Linked DNA regions of Mus musculus. The protein of the gene in region 1 purifies or fractionates together with the protein of each later gene. This does not show direct contact. Links are inferred from orthologs where the notes say so. Each region holds a gene or a part of one and is shown on either strand. Other genes may lie near its edges.

Evidence for each region.
Region 2: the proteins of Slc30a2 (region 1) and Mettl9 purify together in Homo sapiens (co-immunoprecipitation; 3 studies listed by BioGRID and IntAct, with this or other methods). This does not show direct contact. The link is inferred for Mus musculus from reciprocal best matches to the Homo sapiens genes SLC30A2 and METTL9.

Annotation. Positions count from the first base shown.
Region 1 is NC_000070.6:134,341,663-134,346,108, forward strand, and holds the start of Slc30a2 (zinc transporter 2), read left to right. Parts: upstream 1-1,383; 5' UTR 1,384-1,624; coding exon 1,625-1,674; intron 1,675-1,787; exon of another isoform or gene 1,788-1,964; intron 1,965-2,345; coding exon 2,346-2,554; intron 2,555-4,240; coding exon 4,241-4,387; intron 4,388-4,446.
Region 2 is NC_000073.6:121,033,285-121,037,542, forward strand, and holds the start of Mettl9 (methyltransferase-like protein 9 precursor), read left to right. Parts: upstream 1-1,160; 5' UTR 1,161-1,526; coding exon 1,527-1,691; intron 1,692-4,258. UniProt on the Homo sapiens protein: Protein-histidine N-methyltransferase that specifically catalyzes 1-methylhistidine (pros-methylhistidine) methylation of target proteins.

The DNA.
Region 1 (4,446 bases):
CTGGATAGGCTCCAAGGCTTTGTGCATGACTGCTCAATCCACAAACTACACCCCCAGTTATACTTTCCAAGCTGAGGTCATGAAGAATCTAGGAGATGGAGTGACTGAGTACAGAGATCATCAACCGGAAGGAGATATCTATCAGCACTGAGCTGTGGGGGGAGAGTGAATCGCAGAGCCCAATCCCCCCAAAAATAGACTGTTTGGAATACATAGGGCAAGCTGGGTATAGTGGCACATGCCTTTAATCCCAACACTGGAGAGGCAGAAACAGGTAGATCTCTACTCTAAGTTCGAGGCTAGCCTGGTCTACAGAGCATGGCCAGTTCCAGGACAGCCAGGGCTACACAGAGAACCTTGTCTCAGGGAAGGAAAAGAAAGAAAAGAAAGGAAAGAAGAGAAGAGAGGAGAGGAGAGGAGAGGAGAGGAGAGGAGAGGAGAGGAGAGGAGAGGAGAGGAGAGGAGAGGAGAGGAGAGGAGAGGAGAGGAGAGGAGAGGAGAGGAGAGGAGAGGAGAGGAGAGGAGAGAAGAGAAGAGAAGAGAAGAGAAGAGAAGAGAAGAGAAGAGAAGAGAAGAGAAGAGAAGAGAAGAGAAGAGAAGAGAAAAGTGTGGGGTGTGGTCTTCTCCGTTGAAGGTCCCACATCATCTCTTAGGAATTTGCTGGGCTTCTGGGGTACACAGTCTCCTGCAGTGTGTCTGTTCTCCCCAGATAGCATCGGTTAAAAAGACAGGACACTGTTCTTTGTAGAGACGGAGATAAAGCGGCCGATCTGGCCACTCCAGATCGCAATCAGAGAGTGCAAGGCAGGAGGAACTTTCAAAATGGGTCTGTAACTCCAACAGCCCTATTGTGGGGCACCGCCCCAGCAAGGGGGAGGCAGATCCTCTCTGGCTGCAGCCACGGGGCAAGAGCACCAGCCCCCTGTCACTCCCTTGCACCAAGAATCCAATTCCAGGAAGTCTCTCTTCCCCGCAGTAGCCCCCATCAAAGCTGCTAGTCACATCCCTACCCTAAGGGCAATCGAAGGATTTTCTTTCTTTTCTTTTTCTGAGGGTTTATTGTTGGTTGGTTTTGTTTTTTGAGACACTCTGTGTAGCCGTGAAACTTACTCTGTAGACCAGTCTGGCCTCGAACCTAGAGATCTGCCTGACTCAGCTTCCCCATTGCTGGCCTTAAATGTGTATGCCACCACGCCAGGCCGATTTTCTAGAAACTTGGATTCCAAGGCTTTTTTTTTTCTACAGGATTCCAGGAAGAGTGGGTTTTGTGGTCATCCAGTCCTAACTTAGCAACTCTAGGCAACTCTTAGCAAGTGCTTTTCTCTTTGCTCCAGGCAAAAACTTTAGGTCGCAGTCCGGCTCAGCTCCTTCGGGCTCCGGGGATGCAGGGGTCAGGTCCTGGGGGCAGAGCCGCAATTCCCTTTGCAGCCGGCCACCCTCCCCCCTCCCCGCGGGCTTTTGCACACGACGCGCGGCGGGCGGCTTCACACCAGGTGGCGAGGAGGGCCGGGGATAAAGCGGGCGGGCGCGGGGCGCAGCGGCAGGGCCGGAGCGGAAGGTGGAAGGTGACTGCGAGCTGCCATCGTCCCGCGCGCAACTTCGAGGGCGCACCGAGAGAGGCGGCATGCAGACTATGGACAAGCAGAACCTGCTGGAGAGCACGCGCGGAGCCCGGTAAGTTCAAGCCCCAAGGGGCGGGAAGCTGGGCAGCATCACACGTACCTCCTCTTTGACCATCTCGGCTGTGGTTGGTCCGAGCGGGGGCTTGAACTGGGACCCGATCCGAGGGATGGGGTGAGGCAAGAGAAAGGAAATTGGCGGCGGCCTCGTAGCCTCAGGGATCACCTGTCTCACCTGGCCAAGCACACAGTTCCTGAACGCTGCCTGCCTGTACGCCCGAGTGGGACGTAGGGTGCCTGGAACCCCGCCTTCACTCCAGCACTTTGATCCCGGGCAGCCCTGAGGTGGGGAGGCCCGGTGTCCTTGGGTGCGCTGAGCTATGGTCTTTAGCTGCTGTTTGAGCCAGAACTCTGCTCAGAGCTCTTTCTCTGAGCTCGACCGGACTGACTGCCCTTTGGCTAGTTCGCAAAGCTCTCAGCCTGGGAATGGGTGGAGGAGCAGGGGACCATCATAGAACAAGGTCCCAAGACTCACCTCCCCAATACCACACCCACCCCCCTGTAACATTGGCTGCATACCTCTGCTTACCCGCCAGCCAACGCGGGGTTCGGAGTGTTCTTACTTGTTCTGGAAACAGCAGACTAGCAATAACTCCCAGAGACTGGCCCAGTGCCCCCTCCCCCGTCTCCGGCTGAGCGGTCTCCTGTCCTTCCTCTTGCCTCCAGGTCCTTCTTAGGATCTCTGTGGAAGAGTGAAGCTAGCCGGATCCCTCCTGTGGACCTGCCCGCGGTTGAGCTGGCTGTCCAGAGCAACCATTATTGCCATGCCCAGAAGGATTCTGGAAGTCACCCTGACCCCGAGAAGCAGAGGGCCCGACGCAAACTCTATGTGGCCTCTGCCATCTGCCTGGTGTTCATGATTGGCGAAATCATTGGTAAGGCCGTGTGTGTGTGTGTGTGTGTGTGTGTGTGTGTGTGTGTGTGTGTGTGTGAATTAAGTGAAAGTTGCTGTGCACATAGGCTGAATGTTTACATTAATGCTAATGGCAGTAATAGCTACCCGTTTTATTGGTTACTTTTTCTTCTTTCTTTTTTCTTTCTTTCTTCCTTCCTTCCTTTCTTTCTATTTTTTTTTTTTTGAGCTTTCACTTTGCTTGCCTAGAACTCATATCTGTCTGTTTCTGCTTCTAGAGTGTTGGGATTAACGATATGTGACACCACAACCACCATTATTTATTTGTTTGTTTGTTCGTTTGTTTATTATTTTTCGAGACAGGGTTTCTCTGTGTAACCCTGGCTGTTATAACTCCCTTAGACCAGACTGGCTTCGAACTCAGAGACCTGCCTGTCTCTGCCTTTCATGTGCCTCTACCACCGGGCTAATTTTTTTTTTTTTTTTTAAGGCAATCACTTGGCATGGCTCTGTAGTTAAGAGCACTGGCTGCTCTTCCAGGGGACCTGGCCCTGCTTCCCCGCACCTATGTGAGGGCTCTGTCATCTGTTACTCTATCTAGCCCCAGGGAGTCGGATGCCCTCTTGTGGCTTCTGTGGGCACCAGGCATATGGTATACATACATACATGTAAGCAAAAGACATACACTTAGGTTAATAATAAAAGAGATAAGAAGAGCCCCTACTGAGGCCCTTATTTTGCTTTCCTGTCCCTAGGTGAACTTGATTTTCTGTGAATAAGATCTGAGATAAACAGCTGAGGTGCATATTTAACATAACAAAGTGAACCAGGCCTCCAGGTTCTCCCAGCCTCCTTCAGTCTCTACCTGGTAAAATCTGCCCTCCACCCTGAACTTTTCAGCCCAGGGGACTAAACAACTTCTCCCCCAAGAGGGACTGTTTCCTAAATAATCCAGACATTTTGGCACCCTGCTTTGAACTCTAACTCACTCTCTCTCTCTCTCTCTCTCTCTCTCTCTCCCACACACTTCCTTGTTCTTCCCCCTCCCCTCTATCTCCCTCTTCATGAAGACTTCCCTGGCCTCTTTCTTGGGACCAATTAACTCACCTGAGAGCCACATAAGAGGTTTCCCAATAAACCTGCCTTTAAATATACTTTAATCTGCTTGAATTAGCTCATTTTCCCATGGAGAAATGACTTTTCTTTCTTCCCTTTTATTTTCCTTGAATTTTTTTTTTTTTTTTAATTAGATGGGATTTCTCTGTAGCCCTGGCTGTCCTGGAACTCACACTCTTTTAGACCAGGCTGGCCTTGAACTCCTAGAGATCCACCTACCTCTGCTTCCCGAGTGCTGGGTTTAACGGTTTCCCCACCACCAGCATTACACACACACAGACAGACACAGACAGGGTTCCTCTGTGTAGCCCCGGGGCTGGCTTGGAACTTGCTCAGTAGCCCATGCTTGCCTCAGCTCAGTGCCTTCCCTGTCTCTCTGCTGGGATGAAAGGTGTGCTCCACTACAGCCTGTGAGAACTCCATCCACAGGCGCAAGAGTGGAGGTCAGGTGCCCATGTTGTACAACTGAGAGACTCAGAGACCTTGAACCCAATTTGGCTCATCTTCTAGGGTGTGTGGGCTCTTCGCTGTACACAGCTAGGGGAGCTGGCTCTTTTGGGGAACCTCAGGGTCCTGAATCTCGATGTTGCAGGTGGGTACCTGGCACAGAGCCTGGCCATCATGACCGACGCTGCGCACCTGCTCACGGATTTTGCCAGCATGCTCATTAGCCTCTTCGCCCTCTGGGTGTCTTCCCGACCAGCCACCAAGACCATGAACTTCGGCTGGCATCGAGCCGGTAGGGATCTCAGTGGACCGGAGATGGGGGCTGATCAAGAGAAAATGTACGGGTCACGA
Region 2 (4,258 bases), on another chromosome or scaffold:
GGACATAATACAGTCATTTACATTCACTATTATAGCTTCTTTTAAGTATGTTGGACCAGTACTTCTAGAAAGTTGAGCTCAATTTAGTAAGGTATAGTCTTGGGTTTAACACCCAACTTGGAGAGATGTCAGGGAATATACCAGAATGAGAGAAGACAAAGTATTTTGTTATATTCTATGCACATTAGGTAACAAAATATTCTTATTAACGAAAGATGGTAAATAGATACTTTAACACCTAAGGAGTTTGTGATAAGGAATGCCATTTCTCATCCAGGGGTCATTATTTCATAAACGGAAATCTCTTCAGTGTAGTGTGATGAAATTAACGTAAAGATAAATTTGTTTTATAATTAATTTAAAATTAATGTACAGAATCTGTCGCTGTCAAATGAAAAGCATATTCTAACAAACCTAGGAAGGTGTGAGTAGCTGGGCTAGGAAATATGCTGTAGCTTAGTAGCAACAGTTGAGACACAACGACATCTCATGACCCTCATTTTAGAAACATTGGGCTTCTTCCTGCTATAAATGATCTAAGAAATATCTGGCTAAATCTCCCCAGACCGAGCACATTTTAAGAATGTCTGGTCCAACTTCTATCAGCTTGAGAAAACATGGCAGCCAGGACTAACTTGCAAGGAAACATGGCAGCCAGGACTAACTTGTGGCCTTCGTTGTCCAGCAGATGCTATTTTCCATCACATTTCGTTGAGTGCTCCAGGAGCAACAGTTTCCAACAAAGGCAGAGCTTTCACTCATGAGGGCTTCACTAGACCTGTGACAGCCGCTTCTCAGGCTTGGGAACACCGGGACTGGGAGTGGCGGTGGGATTCTTTCCCCCTCGATTCTCTGCTTTGCAGCTATCGGGTGGCTTTTGGAGTTGGGAGTCAGGTTCGCTGACCCCAGATGGAAATTATTAAATAGACGGTCAAGACTGTAGCAAGAAGGGCAGCGCGGGTCTATCGAATAAACCTGGGTCTGTGTCAATGGGAACAATTAGGTCAAAGGTGTAATCGAGGGGCCCACAGGGTAGTTACTAAGGCAAGACAAGCCCGGAAGTCCTGCAGACCCCTCCTCGGAGGGGCCAGACTCTAGTAGCCCCTTTAGGAAGTCTCCCCCGGATCTTCCGCCATTATGAGTCCAGGCGGCGCCACGGAGGACGTGCACGCCCTCTCTCCCAACTCCCGGGCCTCCCGGTCTCCGCTCATTGGGCAGGGAGGACGCCCCTCCTGCGTTTGTACGTGCACCGGGTGGAAACACGACCTGGAGTCGTTGGCGTTCCGGGCTGGGAAGGGCCGCGGGGGACGTGAGAAGGCCGCGCGCCTGCCGCTCCTCCCCCGCCCCCCCTCCCGCGCCATCTCCCCCTCCCTCTGCCTCGGCCCCGAAGGGGGCTGCACGGGCGACTTGGCGGCGATGGCTCGAGCTCCGGCGGCGACGACGGTGGCCGGAGGCGGCGGCTCCTCCTCCTCCTCCTCCTGGGCTTGGGCCCGGCGGTGATCCGAGCTGGCGGCCGCGGCCCCCCGATGAGACTGTTGGCGGGCTGGCTGTGCCTGAGCCTGGCGTCCGTGTGGCTGGCGCGGAGGATGTGGACGCTGCGGAGCCCGCTCTCCCGCTCCCTGTACGTGAACATGACTAGCGGCCCCGGCGGGCCAGCGGCGGCCGCGGGCGGCGGGAAGGACACGCACCAGGTACTGGGCCGCAGCCCTGCGGAGCGGGGGCGTGGCGCGGCGCGGCGGGGCGCTCGGCCTTCCCGCGCTCGGCCGGGCCATTGTGCGGGGCGGCGCGCTCGGGCCTCGGCCCCGGCCTCTCACAAACTTTTCCCGGCCCGGGCGCTGGCCCCACGGCGCCTTTTGTTCGGCGGCGCGGGCGGGGGACAGCCTTTGCTGCCTGGCTCCCCGGGCCCCAGCGTGGGCGCCCCGAAGCCCCGCATTGTTCCCAGGCCGGCGGCGGCGTCCGCGTCCGCCCTCAGGACCCGAGCAACTTTGGGTAGGGCCACCCAACTGGCACTGGGGCCTGAGCAGAAAACTGCCCCAGCTCTCACCCAGCCAGCCTTCCTCTACCCCCCCGAGGGACAAAACCGAAAGCCGGTCTCTTTTTGTCTGGCCGAATCTCTGGATATACAAAGGGTTCTAAAGACATTAAACTGGGCCTCGTGAACATTTCGGCTGACATTTCCCCGAAGCACTTAAAAAAATGTGTTTGACAGGTCTGGGCTCCCAGCCTAGGAACTCTCCTCCCCCTCTGCCTATGAGACGTGTCCTTTCAACTTGGGTTTAGTGAGCTGACCAGAGAGGTTGGGATGAGGAGGAAGATGATGCAAGCTTTAAACGGAGAGGTTTAAAAAATCTGAACTGTTCAGCAGTGAATTCTTGTAGCTAATGAATGGATTGTGAGCCGTGGGGGTTCTACCGGTTGGATGGGGTTGGATGGTCTTTTCATTAGCTATTTGTACCACTTAAAGAAACATGCATGGGTCAGCTGTTGAATTAAGAGGGAGGTAGTTTGCATTTGACCGTAAGTAGTTTGTGGTTAACCTTGCAGTCACAGAAGAGAAGCCTTTGAATTTAGACAAACTTTGCGCTTTTTCTAAAAGCCTGAGTTTAGTATGTCTTGCTTTTACAGAGAGATGTAAGGAATGATTCCTTGTGTTATTTGGACCTCACCTTTTTATGTATAACAGCATTAAGATTTTATTTGCTATTAACTGGATTGTGTTGTTTTTTTTATGGTGTTGGGATGGAACCCAGGTCCTGGAAACTGTTCTACCCTGATCAATACTCAGACCTCATTTTCTATTTTGGAAGGAATCCTCGATTTTCATTATTTAAATTTACTAGTGATTGTGGCGTTTTAGATGCCCTTTTATGTAGTATTGTTAGGAGTGCGATAAACTTAGTATAACATCTTAAATTGTATAACCATGCTTATTGTCACAGACTATGTTATGCTGGCTCAGTGTCATAGAGACAACTCTGAGGTATACACTGTTAATTAAGTAGGATCAGAATGCCTCATGCCCGTGTGGAACAAGGACTTGGAAATGCTGTGTTTAACAAGCAGTGGATAGAAAAAACGATTATTCCCTATGATGAGGAATTGCGGTTGAGTCTCCCAGTTGTCGGTATTTATGATAACACTTGGGATTACTGCAGAGGCTTGATTTAGGTGCTCATAGAAATTGTGCTTATGGGATGGCTCAGTAGTTAAGAGACTGTGCTCAGTCAGCTCAGACAGCTACAGCTCAGACAGCTCACAACTCTGTAATCCCAGCTCTTGCAGGATTGGATAGCTCTGGACTTCTTCAGCACATGAGCGTGTGCAGGCGCGCACACACACATGTACACACACACTATATATATTGTGACTGTAGAGCCCAGGAAGAATGATGGCAGAGGACACTATCTCAGTGCTTCTCAGCAGAGGGCATTTTCTAACTGCATACATTCATTTATTTCTGTGGTGCTGAAGATCAAACTCAGGCCTTGTAAATGCTGGGCAAGTACTGTACCACTAAGCCTCATCCATAGTCAGTTTGTCTGTATGTCTGTCTGTCAGTCCATTTGTCTATATGTAATTTTGAGACAGGGCTTTGTAGCTCTGACTGGCCTAGTACTCCTATGTAGTTCAGACTGACTTTGAACTCAAAGCAGTCTTTCTGCCTCAGTTTCCAGCATACTAGGATTACAGGTGTTCCATGACCATGCGTGGCTTGTTCTTTGTTTGCTTGTTTGTTTTTCTCTGTGTAGCCCTGGTTGTCCTGGAACTCAATCTGTAGATGAGGCTGATACTGAACTCAGAAATCTGCCTGCCTCTGCCTCTTGTGTGCTAGGATTAAAGGCATGTGCCACCTGGCTACCCTTAGTTTTTTGAGATAGGGTCTGTGTAACTCAGGATGGCCTCAGATTCAGAGTCCTTCTACGTCGGCCTCCTGAGTACCAGGATTGTTTTAAGTGTATATCACTATACTCTGCCAGACAGTATTTTTGAGGTGAATAAATTTGTTATGAAAATAAATATCTGTGAGTAAAGATGAAAATGACCAGGATGAAAGAAGTGTGTGCCTAGAGGCCGCCATGAACTAATGCAGGGTGGAAGACTGTCTTTTCTGCACTCCTGGCGGGTATATGGTTTATTTCTTTTATATTTCAGAATCCTGGTTTGCTACATAACTTTCTTGCTTGTGAAGTAGCTTTAATGGCTTCCCCTCTTCAAATTAATAGTTTTATAGAGGCTTTCTGGTGTTCATTTGGGTGTG